4 linked regions of the Arabidopsis thaliana genome follow. The protein of the gene in region 3 binds, or shares a complex with, the protein of the main gene of each other region. Each region holds a gene or a part of one and is shown on either strand. Other genes may lie near its edges. The genes, in order: AKINBETA1, SnRK1.3, KING1 and KIN10.

Region 1 (5,102 bases), on a different chromosome or scaffold from region 3:
AGGAAGCGATTCAATTGGATCAAAAACAGAACGAGGATTGAAGGATCAGATGGAGAAGACGCAATGTGAGGAAGAGAGGTTGAAGAAGGAGGCAAGTGTGTGTGTGTGTTTTGGTGGCGACACTCTTTAAGGGAGGAATAAGCGAGGATGAAACAAACAGTGAAACGTATAACCCCAAAAACCCTAGTTACTTTCCTCTTTTTTTATATGTATATGTTTATTTTATATAGCAATTTCCTATTTTTCCTATTTGAAATTTGACAAAAAATAAGAATAATATTCATGATTTGTTTAATTACTAGTATTACAAATATCCTCTAATCTGGTCTTTATCCTTCGTAATTAAAAACATTCAATTTATTTCTTTTTAATTTTTGTTTTGAGAAAACATCATTTATGTAGGGTTTTAAAAAAATTTAAATTAACTTTATAAACTTATTTTCGTTAGACCTATTTATAACGCGTTTATTTATTAACCTTAGTTTATGTCCTTAAATAGATGTGTTAGAATTTGTGTAGCAATTCTAAGTTATTTTGTACTTTTAATGTGATCTAACAAACTTTTGTTACAACTAAGGATTAGTAGTTGGTAAAAGAGAACGAAGATAACTAGTTATCGCTCTTATAATCTCTTTATTGTTTTATTGTTTAATTCGTTTAAGTTATTTAATTATAATATTTAGTCTTTTAAAAATACGTGAAAAATTATCTGAATTGTTAATATACATATAATAATTTTTATATATATGATGGATATTAACGATGATTTCTGAGGTGAAAACTATTATCTTAATTTTTTTTTTGGGTGAGGCTATTATCTTAATTCTTCAATATGTGAACCTACGAAGAATAAAGTAATTGATGAAGATTTGAATGAATTTTTGTCTCTGAAAATGACATTTGAAGGTGTCTGTGGAAGATTTAGTGTCCACTAGATAAGATTTCTAAACAAAAGGTCAATATATTGATGAAAATTGAAGTGATTGAAATCAAGTTTTTCCAATGATAGTACACTCGTTTGAAGAAAATATGAGGTTGAATCAAAACCTTAGTTCAAAGTAAATGATAAAGCAAAAGCTGAAATCTTACAATTTGAAAGTGACCAATATACAATGCGAGAAAGCAAAAGAAAAAACAATGACTCAACCTATAAGGAAAGTGCATGACAATCACTCATGGCTTAGTGAATAGTGACCATCGCCTTTTACAAGTTTACATTGGCTTTGAAACCCTCCAAACTTTTCGAAACAATCTTTCGACCAATAACTAGTTTACGGGACTAACCAATACAAATCTTGGAAAATGATGATTCTTTGACCATCTCTATTCTAACCCCACCTATTGGAGTTTAAGGCCTTTTCATCGTCACGATACGCATACTATGATCACTGGCTCTAGCAAGATGTTAAGGCACACAAATCGGTGGCAAGGAGGTGACTGGCCCTTGTGTCATTATCCTTCTCAAAGGCATTGAACCAACTTTTTATTCACATTTGTTTATTATATACTAAAAGAAATAAACAAAAAAAAAGTGGATAATTATAAACTTTTGGACGCCAAGTCACTCGTTTATCCATTTGGTACGGATTTTAATGATATCTCTCTCTCAAGAGCCCCTTTTATGCAAAATCTCTTTTTCGCTACCAATGGCATTATTCGTAATTAACTTCTAACTTGAGGGGCGTTTCATTATCTCCTCCTCGTCGTCCTCCCTCCATTTTTCTTCACGTCTGGTTTTCTCTCTCTTTTCCTCTATCTCTCTCCTCTCTTTGTCTCTCTCGCTTCTGTGATTTGGGCTTTTTCAGATGGGAAATGCGAACGGCAAAGACGAAGACGCCGCCGCCGGTAGCGGTGGTGCAGATGTTACCTCGTCCTCGGCGAGATCTAATGGCGGCGATCCTTCTGCACGCAGTCGTCACCGTCGTCCTTCTTCAGACTCTATGAGCAGTTCTCCTCCCGGAAGTCCTGCTCGATCTCCATCTCCTTTCTTATTCGCTCCTCAGGTTCCCTCTCTCGAATATCTCTCTCTGTTTAATCGTTGAATTTGATTTCTGGTTTTGAATTGAATCGATTGAAACATTCGCCCAAAGAGATAATAGTAAGAGAATCTTTTTGATTTGTTTCGTTGAGTAAGAGAATGTTCGTTCACTTGACTTTTCATTTGTTTCACTAATTGTGAGACACTTTCTTCATTTAGATAGGATCCAAGTACAAAATCTCCAGCCTTTTTTTTATGAGTGAACTCTACTTGTTCACTTGATTTGTGTTATCCTGTTGGTTCTTGAGAATTTGTAATGTAGATTCTTGTTCTTAAAGCTTTTTTCTGAGTTGGGTTTAGAGATTCTGTACTAGAGAATCTCTTTTATTTTTGTGTTATCTTGGTTCAGGTATCTTGAAATAATGCATAATGTGGAAAAGTTTCTACCTTTCTTTAAGATGTTGTTTTGGTTTCCTAGCTATTTTTTCTTTATTTTCCAGCCGGTCTCTAGTCATTTACTGGTCGCTCATGATTCTTGATGTCCCTTAGTGAGTCTTTGTGTAATTTATCTTTGTTTCATTGTGAAGAGGGCAACTTTGCAGACTAAGTACGTTTGTGAATGAAATCTTTTGTATAAAGGAATTAGACTTGACTTGGTTTTGTTTGGTTCTTGAGAAGTCAAAAACTCTGGTAAATGACAAGGTAGCTAGTTACTCTTCCTTAGTTTTGGTGGAGAGAGAGAGAGAGGCTTAGATCACCTTATTGCTATGTCTTTTCCTTTTGGTGAGTTAAAATCTTGTTAATCATACTAGAGAATCTGCTTTAGAGAAGGTCTTATTTGTCTTCTGATTATGCCTCCATGCCTGGTGTGGAAAAGCGTATGGCAGTCAAATAGGATGATTATTGTCTCTCTAGGTTTTTATGCTGATTTTGACTTTCCTGCTGCTCTCTGGTCATTTACCAGTTACTGATACTGTTCTGTTGATTTGCATGTCGCATTGTGAGTCTTTTGTGTAATGTCTTTTGCTTTCATTTTTAAGAGGAGGGAGGGCAAGCTTGTTCTTTTCTTCGCCCTTTTTGAATTTAAACACGCAGAGCTTTTACTTGAACGAATTACAGATTTTGGATGTTTCGTCATTCTTCTCATTGTTCTTAATATGTGAATAATTCATAAGATAAGTGAAGGACAACCTTCTAAAATTGACCTTGTTATCAGGTTTTTGTGGGAATAGTGAAATATCTTTTGCTAATAAGGTCTTGTCTGTACTCTGTATGCGAGTAAATTTCTGAGTCTACTGTTGCTATATTCATTTTCGACTCCTTTTCTTTTCAGCCCACATTGTTATTCCACGTTACATCTTACAACATTTGCTCACCTATGCGTCACCTCTTCCATTGTTTAGGCTTAACATGTGTACCTAATGGCTGCATTTCGTGTCGGATGGTAGATATAATGTTTTGACATTCGCAAATTCTTCTTGCACATTGGTTTGTAAGATCTCACGGCTCAGTGTTTATGTGGATATTCTCAGGTTCCCGTGGCTCCATTGCAGAGAGCAAACGCCCCTCCTCCTAATAACATCCAATGGAACCAATCACAGAGAGTTTTTGATAATCCCCCAGAGCAAGGAATCCCTACCATCATTACATGGAACCAAGGAGGTAATGATGTGGCGGTGGAAGGATCATGGGACAATTGGAGATCAAGGTATAATTGACTTTGTTTCTCGTGGACCCTCTCTCGAGATTTCGTGATATATGTTAAAAACAATATGTTTACATTCACCAGGAAGAAGCTGCAGAAATCAGGGAAAGACCACTCGATTCTCTTTGTCCTTCCATCTGGCATATACCACTACAAGGTGATTGTGGACGGTGAATCCAAATACATCCCAGATTTACCCTTTGTAGCAGACGAAGTTGGCAATGTCTGTAACATTCTCGATGTTCATGTAAGTTACTTTCCCACCTCTTTTTTTCTCATGTTAAATCTATCAATCAGCTTAACAGTATCTGCAATCATTATGCATGCAGAACTTTGTGCCAGAAAACCCAGAAAGCATAGTGGAGTTTGAGGCGCCACCATCACCTGATCATAGCTACGGTCAAACCCTACCAGCCGCAGAAGATTACGCGAAAGAGCCACTGGCGGTGCCACCTCAGCTTCATCTAACACTTCTTGGCACTACTGAAGAGACAGCCATAGCCACAAAGCCTCAACATGTGGTGCTTAACCATGTGTTCATAGAGCAAGGATGGACTCCTCAATCCATAGTAGCTTTGGGTTTAACCCACAGGTTCGAGTCTAAGTACATAACTGTTGTCCTCTACAAACCGCTCACACGGTAACCCTAAAAATTCAGTGCCACATTGTTCTCTCTCTTTCTTTCTTTTTCATCTCTCAATTATGTGAAAACATGTTCTTTGTTCATAGTGACTAGTGAGTGCCCAACATTTGAGTTTATTAACCTCTTTCTTACCTGGTTTGTGGTGCTTGTGTACAAAGCTTCTCTCATTGTAACGATTGTTGTTTTATTTTCTGCAAAAACTGTAAAATACATTCGCTAATAATGGCTATAACAAGCTTATCTGCTAGCAACCAAACACATAAATCCTGTTTTTTTTCTTCTTCTGACAAAACGTTTGCGAAAGTGACAAATTTTTGAAAATAATCTTTCTTTTTGGTATTGGAAAAGGCTAACCAGTTTGAAAGTGTACTCATAATAAATCCACGTCGTCTATTTGATTGAAAATTTTAATTTGGATAAGAAAAAGATAAAAGAGAAATAAGGTGAGAAAAAGTGAGCCACACGATGGAGTATGGCGGAAGAAGCATCGACCGAGTAATTGAGACGCTCTGTTTCCAATTACTACTCTCTCGAGCTCCTCCGCTCTGCATTGTCGCCGAGAGTTCCTTTCTTGTCCGACAAACTACTTCTTCTCCTTCGATAAGCCAATTCTGCGCCATAGATTTTTGAAATCTACTGCCGGAAAGGCTGCATGCGATTTCAACTCCCTTTTCCCGGGACAATTCGCAGGTGTGTATTCCTGAAGCTCCGTTGTACTATACTACTATTCCATGTTTCACTTCGAACGAAGAATCAATCATTCGGTAAATTGGATA
Region 2 (5,184 bases), on a different chromosome or scaffold from region 3:
TTATGGCAATAATCCTTTTCTTGTGGCAATAATCCTTTTCTTAGCGATTCAGGAGGACACGAGGCACACTGATATTTTTTTTGATTACATATACAGATTTGTTCAAATTTAATGTATTGTTTTAGTCTTTTTCTGTTGTCCATTTATTTTCTAGCATACACCTCCACTTTGAAGTTATATTTGTCTTTTTTTGGTAAAAAAAACTAATTTAGTTTAAAAGAAAAAAAAACAGACTTAATAAATAATCCAAATAAATTGTTTCAATCATATACCAAATAAAGTAATGTTTATTTGTTTACTTGTTTACCATCTCCATGGTGTTGTCTATTTCCTAACGATTATCATTGATTTTTTATCTTTTACTTTAAAAATAAAAAGTTAGACAAATCTTGACGAATTTTTTACATACATGAATTTTTTTTGGCAAACCCGATAAAATGGTTCATAGTGATAATAGAACTGAACTGAACATAAATTGAAAAAAAAAAAATCAGCTAATCTATGGGTCTGTGGCAGTTCTAATGACTCTTTCAACAAGATCTAGCCATATTTTAGTGTATGTGAAAGGGCATGCAAAGAAGATATAGTCTTAGGCTTTTCTCGTTTCCCACAAAAATACACTATTTTGAACATTTCATCGCGGTTTTGAATAGTAATTTTAGTTTTAGTTATATAATAACTTATAAAAAAATATTTATAATACAAAAAAATCTTTTTAAATGTATAATCTAATTTTTATGGAAATGTAAAAAGGGTGTTACACTTTTTTCAGTACGTATTAAAAATTTATCTCTCATCACAAAAATCTAAATCACAATATTTAAAAGTATTAACTAGTAAATCTACTTCAAATTAAAGATTATTATTACTATTTAAATATCTCACCAATAAAAACTCATTGATTTTTTCTAATTTCTTACAAAACATTCTCCGTTGGAAATTTTCTTTATATATGTATATTCTAAATTAAAATAAGAAAGAAATATTCATTGTATGGTTAGTCAAAGTACCCACTCACATTAATGGCAACTTGTATATCAGGAAAGATATTTCTGTCTTCAAAATGTTGAATAATTAGATTCTAAAAACTGTATAAAATATTAAAATCTAACCATTTTACTAATATATTTTATATTTTTGTCATAATTAGGTAATTACTATTAAGTTAAAACAGAAACTGATCTACTTCTTAACATGGTTGTGTGTAAATTAATTTATTGTTTAATATGATTCATGAAAAAAGTGTGATACCATTAGTCAACAGTGTGACTCAGATTTACCTCAGCAAAGGAGAGTAAAAACAAAGGAAAGATGATAATATATGTGCCCATAGACTCTTTTCTTGTACTTTTCCTCAATTTTCTAGTGGTGCAATTTTTCGTGTGCATGCTCATATAATTTGTATCATGGGTTCCATTTTTTTCTTGCATCAACCATACTCTATAAGATTATGTTAAGAGTCTTCTACGTCTAAATCATTTTTCCAAAAAAAATTCTGTTCAATTTGAAGGTTTTTGTTAGAAACAAAATCTATGAATTTTATGAAAATTTACTGATTTTTATCGGTTTAGACAATCAGTCAAACCACAAATTTCTTCCTTCAACTAGGGGACCTATTCATATAGTGAACGAAATGAATTTTGCTAAAATATGATTTTGATTTGGGGCGTATCACCTTTTGGTGGATTTTCTAGTTAGATTCACCATCAATTATTTTTTATTGTTCATTTTATAGGTAGTTTTTTTCTCATAATCCGTCCATTTTATTGATATTTTACCTTGATATATATTTTTGTTATAGAGGTTTAATTATATATTTCTTTTTTATATTTCAGGTTTTATTATCTATAGTAATTAAAATGGATGGATCATCGGAAAAAACTACCAATAAATTAGTATCGATTCTACCAAATTATAGGATTGGTAAGACTCTTGGACATGGATCCTTTGCGAAAGTGAAATTAGCACTGCATGTAGCTACTGGTCACAAAGTTGCTATCAAAATTCTTAATCGCTCTAAGATTAAGAACATGGGTATTGAGATCAAAGGTATGTATTATTTACTTCAATTTTGTTACTCTTTTTTCATTTGTACAAAAGATTAGAGGAGGTATAACACCTCTCTAAATGTATATATAGATGTATCTTTATTTTTCTTCACGAGATCTAATAGGTCTACGAGATTTCGGCAACCACCATGATCAATAATTTTTGGTTTTGATAATATAATTACAAGTTTATTTGGTATGGATTGTATTTTAATACTGAGAAATCAGAAAAATATTTTTATTTTAAAATCTGTTTTTTTCTACGAAAATACTTTATCCGAATCTTAGGTCTCGAAGCCGAAAGACTGTTCATTAATATAGGTCACTGTTATGATTTGTTTTTTTTTTTGGACTACTTTATGTGGCAAAAAAATATTACGCTTTATGTCTTATATAATCGTTGTTATTTATTAGTAATCTTAATAAATGAAATTGTTTAAGTCTCTTGTAGTACAAAGGGAGATCAAAATTCTCAGATTTTTGATGCATCCTCATATCATCCGTCAATATGAAGTTATAGAGACGCCAAATGACATTTATGTTGTGATGGAATATGTTAAGTCTGGAGAACTATTTGACTATATTGTAGAGAAAGGTAAATTACAGGAAGACGAGGCTCGTCATCTTTTTCAGCAGGTTTGGTATATATATAGTATTTATCCAAACATTTTGTATTTCATAAAACCTTATATCCTTTTCGATTGGCAACACTTTTATTTAAACCATATATTCTCAGATCATATCTGGTGTAGAGTATTGTCATCGCAATATGATCGTTCATAGAGATCTTAAGCCCGAGAATGTGCTTTTGGATTCGCAATGCAACATAAAGATTGTTGACTTTGGATTGAGTAATGTCATGCATGATGGTCATTTTTTAAAGACTAGTTGTGGAAGCCCTAATTATGCTGCTCCAGAGGTATAAGAGATTAACATATTCTTCATTTTTATTTCATGAATTTGGATATATATTTGAAGTATCAATTACTCACACCTGAAACTTATTTATATAGGTTATTTCAGGAAAACCATATGGACCAGATGTAGATATATGGAGTTGTGGGGTGATATTATATGCTCTGTTGTGTGGTACTCTTCCTTTCGATGACGAAAATATTCCTAATGTATTCGAGAAAATAAAGGTATTAATAAACAACGATCTTTTTATAAAAATCATATATATTACACATGGTTATGAATTTTTTCTCTATTTCTTTAGAGAGGAATGTATACTCTTCCAAATCATTTATCACATTTTGCTAGAGATTTGATACCGAGAATGCTTATGGTTGATCCTACTATGAGAATTAGCATTACTGAGATTCGTCAACATCCTTGGTTCAATAATCATCTTCCTCTTTATCTTTCTATTCCTCCATTAGATACCATAGACCAAGCTAAAAAGGTTAGAATTTGTTTTCATTAAATTGTACCAAAATAACATCATTTTTATGAATTCAGTTAATTTTGTATCAATTTTACTCTTTCTAGATTGAGGAGGAGATAATTCAAAACGTGGTTAACATAGGGTTTGATAGAAACCATGTTGTTGATTCTCTTGCCAATAGAATCCAAAACGAGGTATGAGTGTTTTCATATTTCATATAATAATCCTATTATACTCAAAATAGTTTTATAAATGATACTCAAGTTAAATTTCGTTACTTTAGGCTACAGTTGCATACCATCTAATCCTAGACAACCGAAACCAAAATTCTGTTCCCAATGACCCTTTCCAATCCAAGTTTAAAGAGATTTCGGTACTTACTCTCTTTCTCTACAACCTGAATTTAAGAAAAATAAATAAACATTACTTCTCTATATAATTATATTTTCGTTTTAATCCTACAAATATAGGATGGTATATTTAATTCGACGTTACCAGTTCAAAATATTACTTCACATGTTGGCCATTCATTTTCGGCATTGTATGGACTAAAATCCAATGTCAAAGATGACAAAACATGGACCCTTGGACTTCAGGTTAGTCCATGCATGGTTAATGTTTAATCCATTGTTGTTCATGTTACTTTAGCATTCAATTTCGTCTCATGTTTTCTTAATTTTCTTTCTATTCAAAACAGTTTATCAATATATATATCAAAATAATTGTTTGGAATTTTGACAGTCTCAAGGGAGTCCTTATGATATCATGACTGAAATTTTTAAAGCTCTTCAAAATCTAAAAATATGCTGGAAAAAAATCGGACTCTACAATATAAAATGTAGATGGGTCCGAAGCTTTGCTTACTATAAGAATCATACAATTGAGGATGAATGTGCCATCATCTTACCGACCGTCATCAAATTTGAAATTCAGGTATATTTATCCAATTTAAGATATTATACTATAATTTAATAGTCCATAAATAACAATTTTTTTTGTTTTGATGCGAATATAAAATTATCAACAATTTACATTGTTAAAATCTATTTAGAGCAATTTCTTAAATGCAAACCTAATTTGTATCATTTTGGTTGTTGTTATAGCTATACAAAGTACGCGAAGGCAAATATTTGCTGGACATCCTAAGAATTGATGGACCTCAGTTTATCTTCTTTGATCTATGTGTTGCGTTTCTCAGAGAGCTAGGTGTCCTCTAAAGCTCAACCATCACTGGTGTTTTAGATGATTATTGCGGTTAGCTAGGTCCTCTAAAGCTCATTTCATCAATGTTTTTTCGATGATTATTGCTTCAATGTTTTAAATTCAATTATGTTTTCTATGTTTCTGTATTTATGGATTAAGTAATCCTTGACAATAAACAAAAAAAAAAAGAAGATAGATTGTATTTTTTTTTGCATTAAGTTTTGGAAAATGCATGTACTTTTTACACTTTCTCGATTTATGATGCCAATTTTGTTTGAAAAACACACAGTACATGCATTTTCATAGATTTTTTTATATTTCTAAAATATAATTTAATGAAACCACATTTGATCAATTAACTCTGTTTAGCAAAGTGATTGATCACAGATCAAGTTGAATATATATTTACCTTCTAAGAGATTACAAATCGGTGATTGATCAAACTAAAGACCAAAGATACACAACCAACTCTCATGGAGCTTCACGAGAAACTCCTCAGTCAGACACACAATTTATTTCTCCTCATCTCTTAGAATTCTCATATTG
Region 3 (4,789 bases):
TTCAGGTCATCTATAAGGCAAGTAAAACACATGCTTAAGTCATAAAATAGAATCTAAAGAGACATTATTCTGAAATGATCAACTTGGTCTACTTAGCCTAATTTTAAGTCAATACATACAAATTTGATCTCTCTAACTATATTTGTTTTTCTCTTTCTAGTGTTCTTTTTCTTTCCAATATATATACATAGCATATTTTGAATTCTTTTTGTTTTATGGAGTAACGTCAAATATTATAATAGCCGCATATAAAATTAGAATTTATTAAATATTAATTTATAACTTTTTTATTGTAGACAATTATTTTAGGAAAGCAAAGTATATTTAGACGAAAATAGTATTAGGATGAATAATTTTTTGAAAGTCCTAATGTTGCATATTTTTTGTTTTGGTGAACAAATTTCGTGTTGTAGTTCTTAAACATCTATACTATTAATTGGGAATCATTGAAAATAAACAACCTTACGAAGGGTAAAATATTACAAAAATACTATTGATTGTTAGTATTTTTAAATAAATTCTGATTAATTTAAAATAATTATAATTATGCTTTACATTTAGAAATATATAAACAATAAATTGTACATACTTATTTTGAAATATTTTGGTTTTCTTTTTTCTTTTTTTCAACCTGATTTTTTTTTAAATAAATCCATAATATATTATTGAACAAACTTTTGAAATAATGTAAACTAATACATTTTTCATTCAAAACAAATTATCCAACAAAAATAATTTGGATTATGAGTACTATATAAAATAATTTGAAACCAAACTTGACATCAAATTAAATATCTAACTGGTATGAGTTTGGGTTATGAACACTATATAGCATGTACGTATTTTGTGACACAAATTCTATTTGTGATGTTTACAGGTTGGTAGTATTTTTTTTCCACATATACAGACGGGTTATGAGACGAAAAATTTATGATACATACATCACAGGTTTTCCATTCCAAGAAATATAAGTCAAATATACGTTTTTATTTTCTAAACTAATCAAAACATTATAACTGTTATAACAGTAATCAAAACATTATAACAGTTTGATTACTGGTGTAAAATAGGATATAAATTTGGTTTTAGTTTGGGTTATTTATCTGTGTGAATTCGGATCTTAAAATATAATTATATACCAACATAATTGAATTTCGATTATTATTCTTAACTTTATAATATTTATACTATTACAAAGTTTAATTATAACAAAATATTATATATTTTAAAAATCTATTTAAAAAGTTCTATTTTATATGTATATGAGATTTCAAATATCTAATATATTGTATTATAATATATATTACAAAATAAAAAAAAATAATTTACATTGAATTAAAAATATGAATCCGCACATACGTAAAAGTTAGGATCTAGTAATTTGTATAAAAAAGAAAGAAGAAGATAGTTATCCATTTCATAGGTCGGCTGCTAATTTTTGGCGGATTTCTAATAATTATATACAATCCAATTAAATAAATGAAATATGTCGTGGAAAGTGGAAACTATATAAAGGATAGAGATAAGTACGACTTCGACAAATGGAGATATATTATCATTATTATTATTATAATCATTATCTTTCGCTATTCCTGACCAATACCCAAATGATCTCCGCTACTCTTTCCACGTGTCAAAAGCACTGAATTGAACGGATGAGATCTTAAGTCACTAACCAAAACAACACTTGAATTTTTTTATAACAAATCACAGTTCCACCCAATGAAATCCATTTTGTTTCAAAATAAACCCGTATCTTTATAATGAAACTGAAAGATTCAAGGATGTTTTTGATAAATTAAAAACTATGTAGGGCTTCATTCATAAGATTTAAGACAACAGGGTTTATGAATTTGTCTCTGCTTCACGATCTCTCTACTATGGTGTACTGTATCTTTCAATCTATAGTTCAGTTACAAAGATCATCACAGCCAATTTTAGAAAACTTCTGACGGAAAATAAAAAGAGAGGATTTATTTTTATCTTTCTGTGTTACCGGAGAATAAAGACGGTACCTTTTCACTGTTGACTTAACGGAGAAGATGGCGACTGTTCCGGAGATAAAGATAATGAGAAGCGAGAGCTTAGGTCATCGGAGTGACGTGTCGAGCCCGGAAGCTAAGCTAGGGATGCGTGTGGAAGATCTCTGGGATGAGCAGAAACCACAGCTCAGTCCTAACGAGAAGCTCAACGCTTGCTTTGAGAGCATCCCTGTCTCTGCTTTCCCTCTCTCTTCTGATTCACAAGGTATGAGGATTTTGATGATGTGGGTGTTTGACCATGAGCTGATCTATAATTGGAACTGGTAATTGTGTTGAATTTGAATCATGTTCTATGGAGATTGATTTTGATTTTTGTGATGCAATTATTGATGGGTTCTGTGATCTCTTGGTATGTGTTTGTTGATGACTTGTAGTAGGAATATGTGCTGTGTGTTGAAATTCAAGTTATTGAAAGTTTTATAAGTCAGAATTTGGAATTCAATCCAGCTTGTTGGATACTCGAATCAGTTCGATTTAGGGAATCAGAATTAGTTCTTGATGGTTTTTGTTTCTTAGTCTCCTTGTAGAATCAGAGTACTTATTGATTCAGTTCTGCTGTCTCACATCTTTGTGGTTTCCCTATATAGATATTGAGATAAGATCAGACACAAGTTTGGCTGAAGCTGTTCAGACACTATCGAAATTCAAGGTCTTGAGCGCGCCTGTTGTAGATGTTGATGCGCCTGAAGATGCCAGTTGGATTGATCGCTACATCGGTATTGTGGAATTTCCAGGCATTGTTGTCTGGCTTTTGCATCAGGTAATTGTTCTCCAAAAAATACGAGAGGCGACTTGTTTTTGTCATGATCAAATTGGATTGTGGTACCTAGTGAACTATACTTCATGTCTGTACTCTACTTGTCTCCTTTAAAAAACAGTTGGAGCCACCATCTCCAAGGAGCCCTGCTGTTGCAGCTTCAAATGGATTTTCTCATGATTTCACCACCGATGTTCTGGATAACGGAGATTCAGCAGTAACTTCTGGAAACTTCTTTGAGGTCCTTACTTCTTCAGAGCTATACAAGAACACCAAGGTGAAGCTTGTTTTTTTATGAAGGACCTGATTTCAGTTGACTTTTTTCTCCTGATTACGGCTTCTGAAATGCGTTGGATATTCTCTCTGACAGGTTCGAGATATCTCTGGAACATTCCGCTGGGCACCGTTCCTGGCTCTGCAGAAAGAGAACTCCTTTTTGACCATGCTGTTACTTCTTTCTAAATACAAAATGAAGAGCATCCCGGTGGTTGATTTAGGTGTAGCAAAGATCGAGAACATTATCACACAATCAGGAGTTATACATATGCTGGCAGAATGCGCGGGGCTTCTCTGGTTTGAGGATTGGGGAATCAAAACTCTCTCTGAAGTCGGTCTTCCCATTATGTCAAAGGACCATATCATAAAGGTCAGTTTGTAATCTAACTCATAGCTCCATTGAGAGTTTTTTTTTTCCTTTTTTAACAGATCATTATTTCTCTTTCAGATCTATGAGGATGAACCAGTTCTTCAGGCATTCAAGCTGATGAGGAGAAAGAGAATCGGAGGCATACCTGTCATTGAAAGGAATAGCGAGAAGCCAGTAGGCAACATAAGCCTTAGAGATGTTCAATTTCTCCTCACTGCACCTGAGATCTACCATGACTACAGGTTAATACTTCACAAATCCTTGTGATGATGATACACCGAGTTTTGCAGCATTGTCAAATCTTCAATCCTTTCTCTCTCTTTATTTTAGGTCAATCACAACGAAGAACTTCTTAGTATCTGTTAGAGAGCATCTTGAGAAGTGCGGGGATACATCAGCTCCTATCATGAGTGGTGTGATTGCTTGCACGAAGAACCATACACTAAAGGAACTGATCTTGATGTTAGACGCGGAGAAGATCCATAGGATATATGTTGTGGATGATTTTGGTAACCTTGAAGGACTCATCACTCTTAGAGACATCATTGCAAGACTTGTCCATGAGCCATCCGGCTATTTTGGAGATTTCTTTGATGGTGTTATGCCTCTTCCCGAAAACTACCGAGTCTGAGAGAAAAATGGTATCTTTCTTCTGTAAATTGTCTTTTGTTTGGTGATAATGCTTCTGTCTGTTTGTGCTTAAGTTCTCGAAATTGTGTTATTAACGTTTAACAGAAATAAGAAAAGAAGAAAGAGCCTGTCTTTGAGTGAATATGTCTGAAATACAATAACTCTTAAGATTCTCGGATTTGGCCCTACATTTTGAATTTGAACAATTAGGTCTCTGGTTGGAGTAAGTGTTCTTCGAACTTGATCAAGATCTCATCCATCTCTGGTTGATGTTTCCTGACCTGAAAATTTTGGTTTCAGACAGATTTAGATACCAAATGAGACTTCCCATTACAATCACTGTAGAGAAATTTCATGTGGAAATCTAAGTGGCTTTAATTACTTTGACGTTTGCCATGGATAAGAGCTTGTGAGAAGCTACATAGGCAACATCTGAGTCATTTGGTCTCTTTTCCACAAAATAGATTACCTCAGCAACACCAGACTGCAAGAAAGAAAACCGAAATGACAAAAGTCCATATGATTGTGATGATCTACTTGCATCAAATTGGTTAATTGGACTAACTAGAACATTTGGTTTTTATATGACTGCTTAGCTGAAGACATTGACCATAAAAGATTACTAGAGTAGCTTATTAAGGATCCAAATTTGACAAATCAAGCCAATGGTATATAGAACAAACCTGTAAAATAATCTTGGCACATTCATTGCAA
Region 4 (5,693 bases), about 18 Mb from region 3:
TCCATATTTGTTTAATTTTTCATTTAAAAAAAAAAGCCCAAGTCAGTGTGAAATTATTCAATTTCAGGTTTACCAAAAGATAATTGTGTCTTTTTTTATTATTATTACAAATTTCCTTGTATTTTTGTGAGAGTTTATCTCACACTTGATGTGTTTTTTTTTTTTTTGCAGGAGAAGATTAACTGGTAGGTAAAACCACACGTTGGAAACTTTTGAAATTCTTTTTGGGCTTGTTTTTGAGTTTGTATAGTTTTTGGATCTTAGTTCGAAATAAACACATCAAGCTCATCCTAAATGTTCGTTTTTCAATGTCTTAATATTAGTAGGATGACAAAAACAAAAAACAACTATTTTTGAATTTGCTAATTTGTTTACACAAAAAATATAGTGTAATATTGACCCATCAAATAATACACGAAACAAAAACAACTACTTCTGAATTTGCTAATTTGTTTTCAATGAAACTAATTTAAACATCTTTCCTTCAATTTTTGTCAAAATGTCTTTCCCTTAACTTATTGATTTTAATCATAAGAAATATGGAGTAAACAAAAACAAAAATCAATCTTGGTGGCATGATGCACTACAAGTTATGTACAAAGTGTCTTTTTTTTACTCTTGCTCAGTCTTACATTTAAGTTAAAAGAGGTATTTGAGTAGAGCACGCATATAGAAATAGAAAGAAAGAGAAGAAGAAAAAAAGGGTTACGTTTTCTAAATAATTTCTTAGACGAATAAGAAAAAAAAAAAAAAAGGAATAAGTGGGGATTATTCTTGAAGAGGTCCGGTTTAGTATTCAGAGGACTCGGAGCTGAGCAAGAAAAGCAGCACACAGATCCAAGAACAAGAACTGAGGACCTTGTACTCTCTGCAAATCCAGTAGATACTTGTCGTCCCGAGTTTTATACAACTGTTTCACCATCAACAATAACAAACGTCATCAAGCCCAGAAAATATTGATTGATAGTTAGATTCATGAAGATTCACTCTAGTTCTAATTCAGTTACAAAAATGGCCATGGACACTAATACACAAAGCTTTCTTTCACTCGAAATCACACATCAGAAACAATGTCGTACGGGAAACCGATATGTATCATGAAGTGGAGAAGAGGATTTACCTGAATTTCAAACTTGACAACATTGGGCGACTTAACAGCTGCTTCGTTCTCTATTATGCTGGACTCGTCTCCAAAGTAGTTGTTATCGTGCATCGAGTTACTGAGCATACCATCTGCGCTGCTGTTAGGAACCCATCTGCACTTCATGTTGTAGTGCCCTATCTTCTTCCAACATACATTCAAATCTTGCAGGGCTTTCAGGACTTCCGTCATTATTTCACGGGGATGAGCCCGAGACTGTGCGATCAAATTGTTACAATATTAATCACATATATATCAAAAGCTGAAGTCTTTATACCATAAATACAGAAAATATCAAAACCTGAAGTCCAAGAGCCCATTTTCTCTCAACAGGGTATTGAGATCTCAAGCCAACTCCTTGATATTCCATCAGTCCTGGAAGCCGATGGCTAACAGGTGAAGCAACGCTTTCTGCTGGATGCATACGGGGAGTACCTTCCTGATTAAATCAAACAATGAAGCATTACGTCAAAGATCTTTTGCTAAAGTCGAAAAGGACAAAAAAGACTAACCATGGTCTCTTGAAACTCAGCCCCGAGATAACCACTAGAGGCACGGAAACGATTGTCCAGTATCAGATAGTACGTCACAGTGCCCTGGAAGACAGTCGGTAAGAATACAGTATTTAAGATCTTTTGATGGAATTTTTTTTAATCTTTGAAATGAAAGAAACAGCAAAAGAACAAGTGGGTGGGAAACACATACATCATTCTGGGTTCGGTTGCGGAGCGATTCGATGAGGTGGTTTCTGTCAAATCCCATATTGATAACTTCTTGGAGAATCTCCTCGTCAATCTACAAATGAAGACAGCGCTTTTACGCCTTTATCGAAAAATGGGAATAGAGATTTCTCTAATGAAAATAAGAGTAGATACGTTAGGCTTACCTTTTTTGCCTGTTGCACAGTATCTGGAGGAGGAACAGCTAAATACCTCGGAAGATGAGCTTGGAACCAAGGGTGTTGCCGGATCTCAGGGATGGTTACTCGTTTCATGGGGTCAACTACAAGCATCCGGGGGATCAAATCTCTAGCACCAGGAGATAAATGGCTAGGTAATGTGTATATCCCTCCCTATAGGACGAAAAGAGAAAAAAAAAAGGTTACAGTCGAAGGGTGATACGAAAAATAAAATAAAAAATTCAAGCATTAGTTCAAATAGACGAAAGAGGAGGAGTAATAGAATGTACCTTTATCTTCTTAAAAAGGTTGGGAATGTTTTCATCATCAAATGGAAGCGTCCCACAGAGAAGAGCGTAGAGTATCACACCACAGCTCCAGACATCTACTTCAGGGCCAGCATATAACTTGCCCGAAATTACCTGAAACAATTTATAGATCTCGACTATAACCTATCATTTGAAACAAGCCTAATTATAGTATTCCTCAGATACCTGAGGGCTGAAGCACTTACCTCTGGAGCGGCATAATTTGGACTTCCACAACTTGTCTTCAAAAAATGACCATCTCGCATTATGTTGCTCAGGCCAAAATCAGCAATCTTTACATTGCATTTAGAGTCCAAAAGCAAGTTTTCAGGCTTGAGGTCTCTGTGAACCACCATGTTTCGATGGCAGTATTCCACTCCTGATATTATCTACATCAAAGCCAAGTAGCTAATTCTTAACTCTCAAATATAATATAAAATCGAATGGTTGCTTGGAAAGTTACATGTTGATAAAATAAAATAAAAACATACCTGCTGAAAAAAGTTCCTCGCCTCATCCTCCTGCAATCTACCCTTCTCAACAATATAGTCAAATAGCTCACCAGAGTTCACATACTCCATGACAAGATAAATATCTGTGGGAGTCTCTATAACCTCATAGAGACGGATGATGTGAGGATGCATAAATAGTCTCAAGATTTTGATCTCTCTCCTCACTGCATCAAAGACCAAATAAGTTCAAAGGAAGGAAGACGAAAAAGAAGCTATATATTTATATATTCCAAGAGTACCGTGAAGTCACAACTAAGGTGGAATGGATACACAAAACAAAACTTGTACCTTTCTCCTCCATCTCCATGTTCTTGATTTTGCGACGATTGAGGATCTTGATAGCAACCTTATGTCCTGTCAATGCATGCTCAGCTATCTTCACCCTACCAAAGGAACCAATACCAAGAGTTCTCCCAAGCTTGTAATTTGGTAGAATCGATTCTACCCCACTTCTACTGCCTGTGCCTGATCCATCCATTCTCTACAAAAAAAGAGAGAGAGATATTAGATCTACTAGTACACAACACACAAAACAAACTGCAAAAGAGTAATAGGAACAAAAAGCAAGTAATTTTTACACTTTTGAAGATTCTGTGATCGATCGTTGAAGAAACTAAATTAAACTCATCTACTCGTTTGAACATGAGAATTTAGCGAGAATTAGGATCCCTTTTATTATCCAGAATAAACCAACCAACACTAAGAAGAGAGCTTAAAATAGCAATTTTCAGACTATCCCCAATTCGGAATATGAACCCTAATAATAATTCAATCGCAGAGGATTACTGGATCTCTCGTACCCGATTCAGAAATGACGATTTCAAGATCAATCCATTGATTTGCAAAAGGGCGAGAATTTTTTTTATTTCCGAAATAAGAAAATTGAGAGATATCGAAACTTACCAAAAATTAAAAAAGGCGGAGGAGAAAATTCGGAACCAAAAAATGCAGCAAAAAAAAGTCCCAAAATTTTCTGAGCTGAAAAAGTAAAATTGAGGAAGATCCAGAGATCAGCTTAAACCCAGAAATTATTGATAGATTCTTCCTCTCGCTTTCATTGCTCTCGCTCCTGTAGCCTATAAGGCGCAAGCAAGTATCAAAGACGAAATTATTTGATTTTTGGTTCCATAAACGGATCAATCTTTAACTAAATTACCCCCAGAGTTACGACTAATTACAATATATACCCCCATGCGGACGTGGCATCTAGTCATCATCTTTTTGCTAAATATTCTCTGTGGTAAAATTATTAACCACCGTTTTGTTTTGGCATCTTTCAAAAAGTTTGTACCGTCTTAAACCGGTTTAGAGAGATACATTGACATAAACTTTTTTTCTTTTTTACACAAGCCAAGTGTAAGCAAATGTACAAGACAAAAACCGCTTGATTCTCGGTTAAGACCCAATGTACAAGACAACCGGTTTAGTGTGTTCTTTCATGGATTGCACCAGGTATAGTAAACCAACAGCTTCAACATAAGCAAACTTCAATAGCTCAAGTAAAAAGGTGATCTCAAGGTGAGATATCTCTCGAGTCCTGTGATGCCGAAAGTGCAGGATCTCGGTAAGCAACAACGAGTTCCGAATAGAATTCAGACATGTTTTGCTCTCTCTCGTCTGCTTTATCTTTGTTTACCAGACACTGCAAAAGTAAAACATCCATCATCACCATATAAAGGTTTAGAGTAGATGCTGTAATGTAATAAAGGACTATGCATCATGTTCTGTTTGTTTTGTTTAGGTTAGGAATAAAAGATTATCTAGCCATATTTTTCTTCCATTGGATCAAAAATATGAGTAACTATTTCTCTAAAGCCTTTACCTGGGTAGGATAAGATTTGAAATTTGGTAAAAACCGTCTTTGGCAGTAAATGCTGAAAAGGACCGTGAGAACCGGAAGGGGAATTGTTAAAGAAGATGCCACTGGAAGCTCTTTAAGCCCGAATAATCCGACTGCAATAATGTGCATTAGTACCAAAGAGAAGATAGTATAGCTGTGAACTATTGGCCAAAACTTTCCACCAGTTTCATACTTGGCCGCATATACGTTTAGGAGCTGCAGCACAAAAAGGTGATGTTATTTCTATCAACAAGTTGCAATGGATTCATTAAGAAGAAAAAGAATTATGTGACGAGAAAATGGATTCTTGATGTAACGTTTATGTCATGACTGAAGCTCCAAAAAATACTTTCGGTTTAAAGATGCTATTCGAGAATTTAGAAAAGGGATCACATATAAAGAGAAGATAAAAGTGAGATTCCATATAACGAAAATATGTGTAGCTGATTCCTATATGATTTTATCAGAGATCAACAGAGAATTATACTTAGGAGTGAGATTGGTTCCGTTACCTGGTTGCGGTAGATGATATATCCAAGACAATAGTAGACCAACAAGAAAGGCAGTATCAATGGCGAAAGGAAGAAGTAAGTTATACCGAGGAGTCCAAAAAATAGAATCCTTGGGATTTCTTGGCAGAAAGGAGTTGAAGGAACCTCAAATTCTTTGTCATCTTCCTTGCCGAAAAGTTTCGTTATGAAACTCCAAAGAAGAGGAACCAAACGGAGGATCTCTGATGATAAACCAGTCCATCCAGAGGTCACAACATAAGATACAAAGAACGATGCCTACACCAAAGATTAAACAATAAACATGACTCGTGGTACGAAAAGGGAATTCCGGAAACCTCAATACTGAATTTTGTGTTCTTTACCTGTGCTGGCACAGCTGCAGCAAGCACACGAGGAATAGTCTTAGGTTCAAGGAACACATTAACACGATAAAGGGCAGATCCGGACAGTACATTTGCAAAGAAACTGTTCCATACAGTAAA

The links.
Region 1: KING1 (region 3) and AKINBETA1 share a complex: the UniProt entries of both Arabidopsis thaliana proteins name them as parts of the probable heterotrimeric complex.
Region 2: KING1 (region 3) and SnRK1.3 share a complex: the UniProt entries of both Arabidopsis thaliana proteins name them as parts of the probable heterotrimeric complex.
Region 4: KING1 (region 3) and KIN10 share a complex: the UniProt entries of both Arabidopsis thaliana proteins name them as parts of the probable heterotrimeric complex.

The regions. Positions count from the first base shown.
Region 1 is NC_003076.8:7,203,913-7,209,014, forward strand, and holds AKINBETA1 (5'-AMP-activated protein kinase beta-2 subunit protein), read left to right. Parts: upstream 1-1,754; 5' UTR 1,755-1,805; coding exon 1,806-2,003; intron 2,004-3,253; exon of another isoform or gene 3,254-3,311; coding exon 3,312-3,422; intron 3,423-3,510; coding exon 3,511-3,686; intron 3,687-3,767; coding exon 3,768-3,930; intron 3,931-4,012; coding exon 4,013-4,327; 3' UTR 4,328-4,584; downstream 4,585-5,102. UniProt on the Arabidopsis thaliana protein: Regulatory subunit of the probable trimeric SNF1-related protein kinase (SnRK) complex, which may play a role in a signal transduction cascade regulating gene expression and carbohydrate metabolism in higher plants.
Region 2 is NC_003076.8:15,780,048-15,785,231, forward strand, and holds SnRK1.3 (SNF1-related protein kinase 1.3), read left to right. Parts: upstream 1-1,859; coding exon 1,860-2,049; intron 2,050-2,499; coding exon 2,500-2,684; intron 2,685-2,784; coding exon 2,785-2,967; intron 2,968-3,061; coding exon 3,062-3,190; intron 3,191-3,267; coding exon 3,268-3,453; intron 3,454-3,539; coding exon 3,540-3,629; intron 3,630-3,718; coding exon 3,719-3,808; intron 3,809-3,905; coding exon 3,906-4,031; intron 4,032-4,176; coding exon 4,177-4,368; intron 4,369-4,538; coding exon 4,539-4,652; downstream 4,653-5,184. UniProt on the Arabidopsis thaliana protein: Catalytic subunit of the probable trimeric SNF1-related protein kinase (SnRK) complex, a central regulator of cellular energy homeostasis, which, in response to seemingly unrelated darkness, sugar and stress conditions, activates energy-producing pathways and inhibits energy-consuming processes.
Region 3 is NC_003074.8:17,985,517-17,990,305, forward strand, and holds KING1 (SNF1-related protein kinase regulatory subunit gamma 1), read left to right. Parts: upstream 1-1,861; 5' UTR 1,862-2,042; coding exon 2,043-2,247; intron 2,248-2,629; coding exon 2,630-2,802; intron 2,803-2,920; coding exon 2,921-3,076; intron 3,077-3,169; coding exon 3,170-3,445; intron 3,446-3,523; coding exon 3,524-3,687; intron 3,688-3,775; coding exon 3,776-4,076; 3' UTR 4,077-4,247; downstream 4,248-4,789. Other genes in the region: AT3G48540 (Cytidine/deoxycytidylate deaminase family protein), read right to left, coding at 4,282-4,356, 4,458-4,559, 4,759-4,789. UniProt on the Arabidopsis thaliana protein: Regulatory subunit of the probable trimeric SNF1-related protein kinase (SnRK) complex, which may play a role in a signal transduction cascade regulating gene expression and carbohydrate metabolism in higher plants.
Region 4 is NC_003074.8:30,641-36,333, forward strand, and holds KIN10 (SNF1 kinase homolog 10), read right to left. Parts: upstream 3,848-5,693; 5' UTR 3,504-3,847; coding exon 3,438-3,503; intron 3,341-3,437; coding exon 3,148-3,340; intron 3,024-3,147; coding exon 2,839-3,023; intron 2,737-2,838; coding exon 2,554-2,736; intron 2,462-2,553; coding exon 2,330-2,461; intron 2,214-2,329; coding exon 2,028-2,213; intron 1,937-2,027; coding exon 1,847-1,936; intron 1,738-1,846; coding exon 1,654-1,737; intron 1,581-1,653; coding exon 1,443-1,580; intron 1,358-1,442; coding exon 1,121-1,357; intron 911-1,120; coding exon 797-910; 3' UTR 541-796; downstream 1-540. Other genes in the region: AT3G01085 (Protein kinase superfamily protein), read left to right, coding at 172-182; HYP1 (hypothetical protein 1), read right to left, coding at 4,373-4,501, 4,682-4,915, 5,212-5,487, 5,574-5,693. UniProt on the Arabidopsis thaliana protein: Catalytic subunit of the probable trimeric SNF1-related protein kinase (SnRK) complex, a central regulator of cellular energy homeostasis, which, in response to seemingly unrelated darkness, sugar and stress conditions, activates energy-producing pathways and inhibits energy-consuming processes.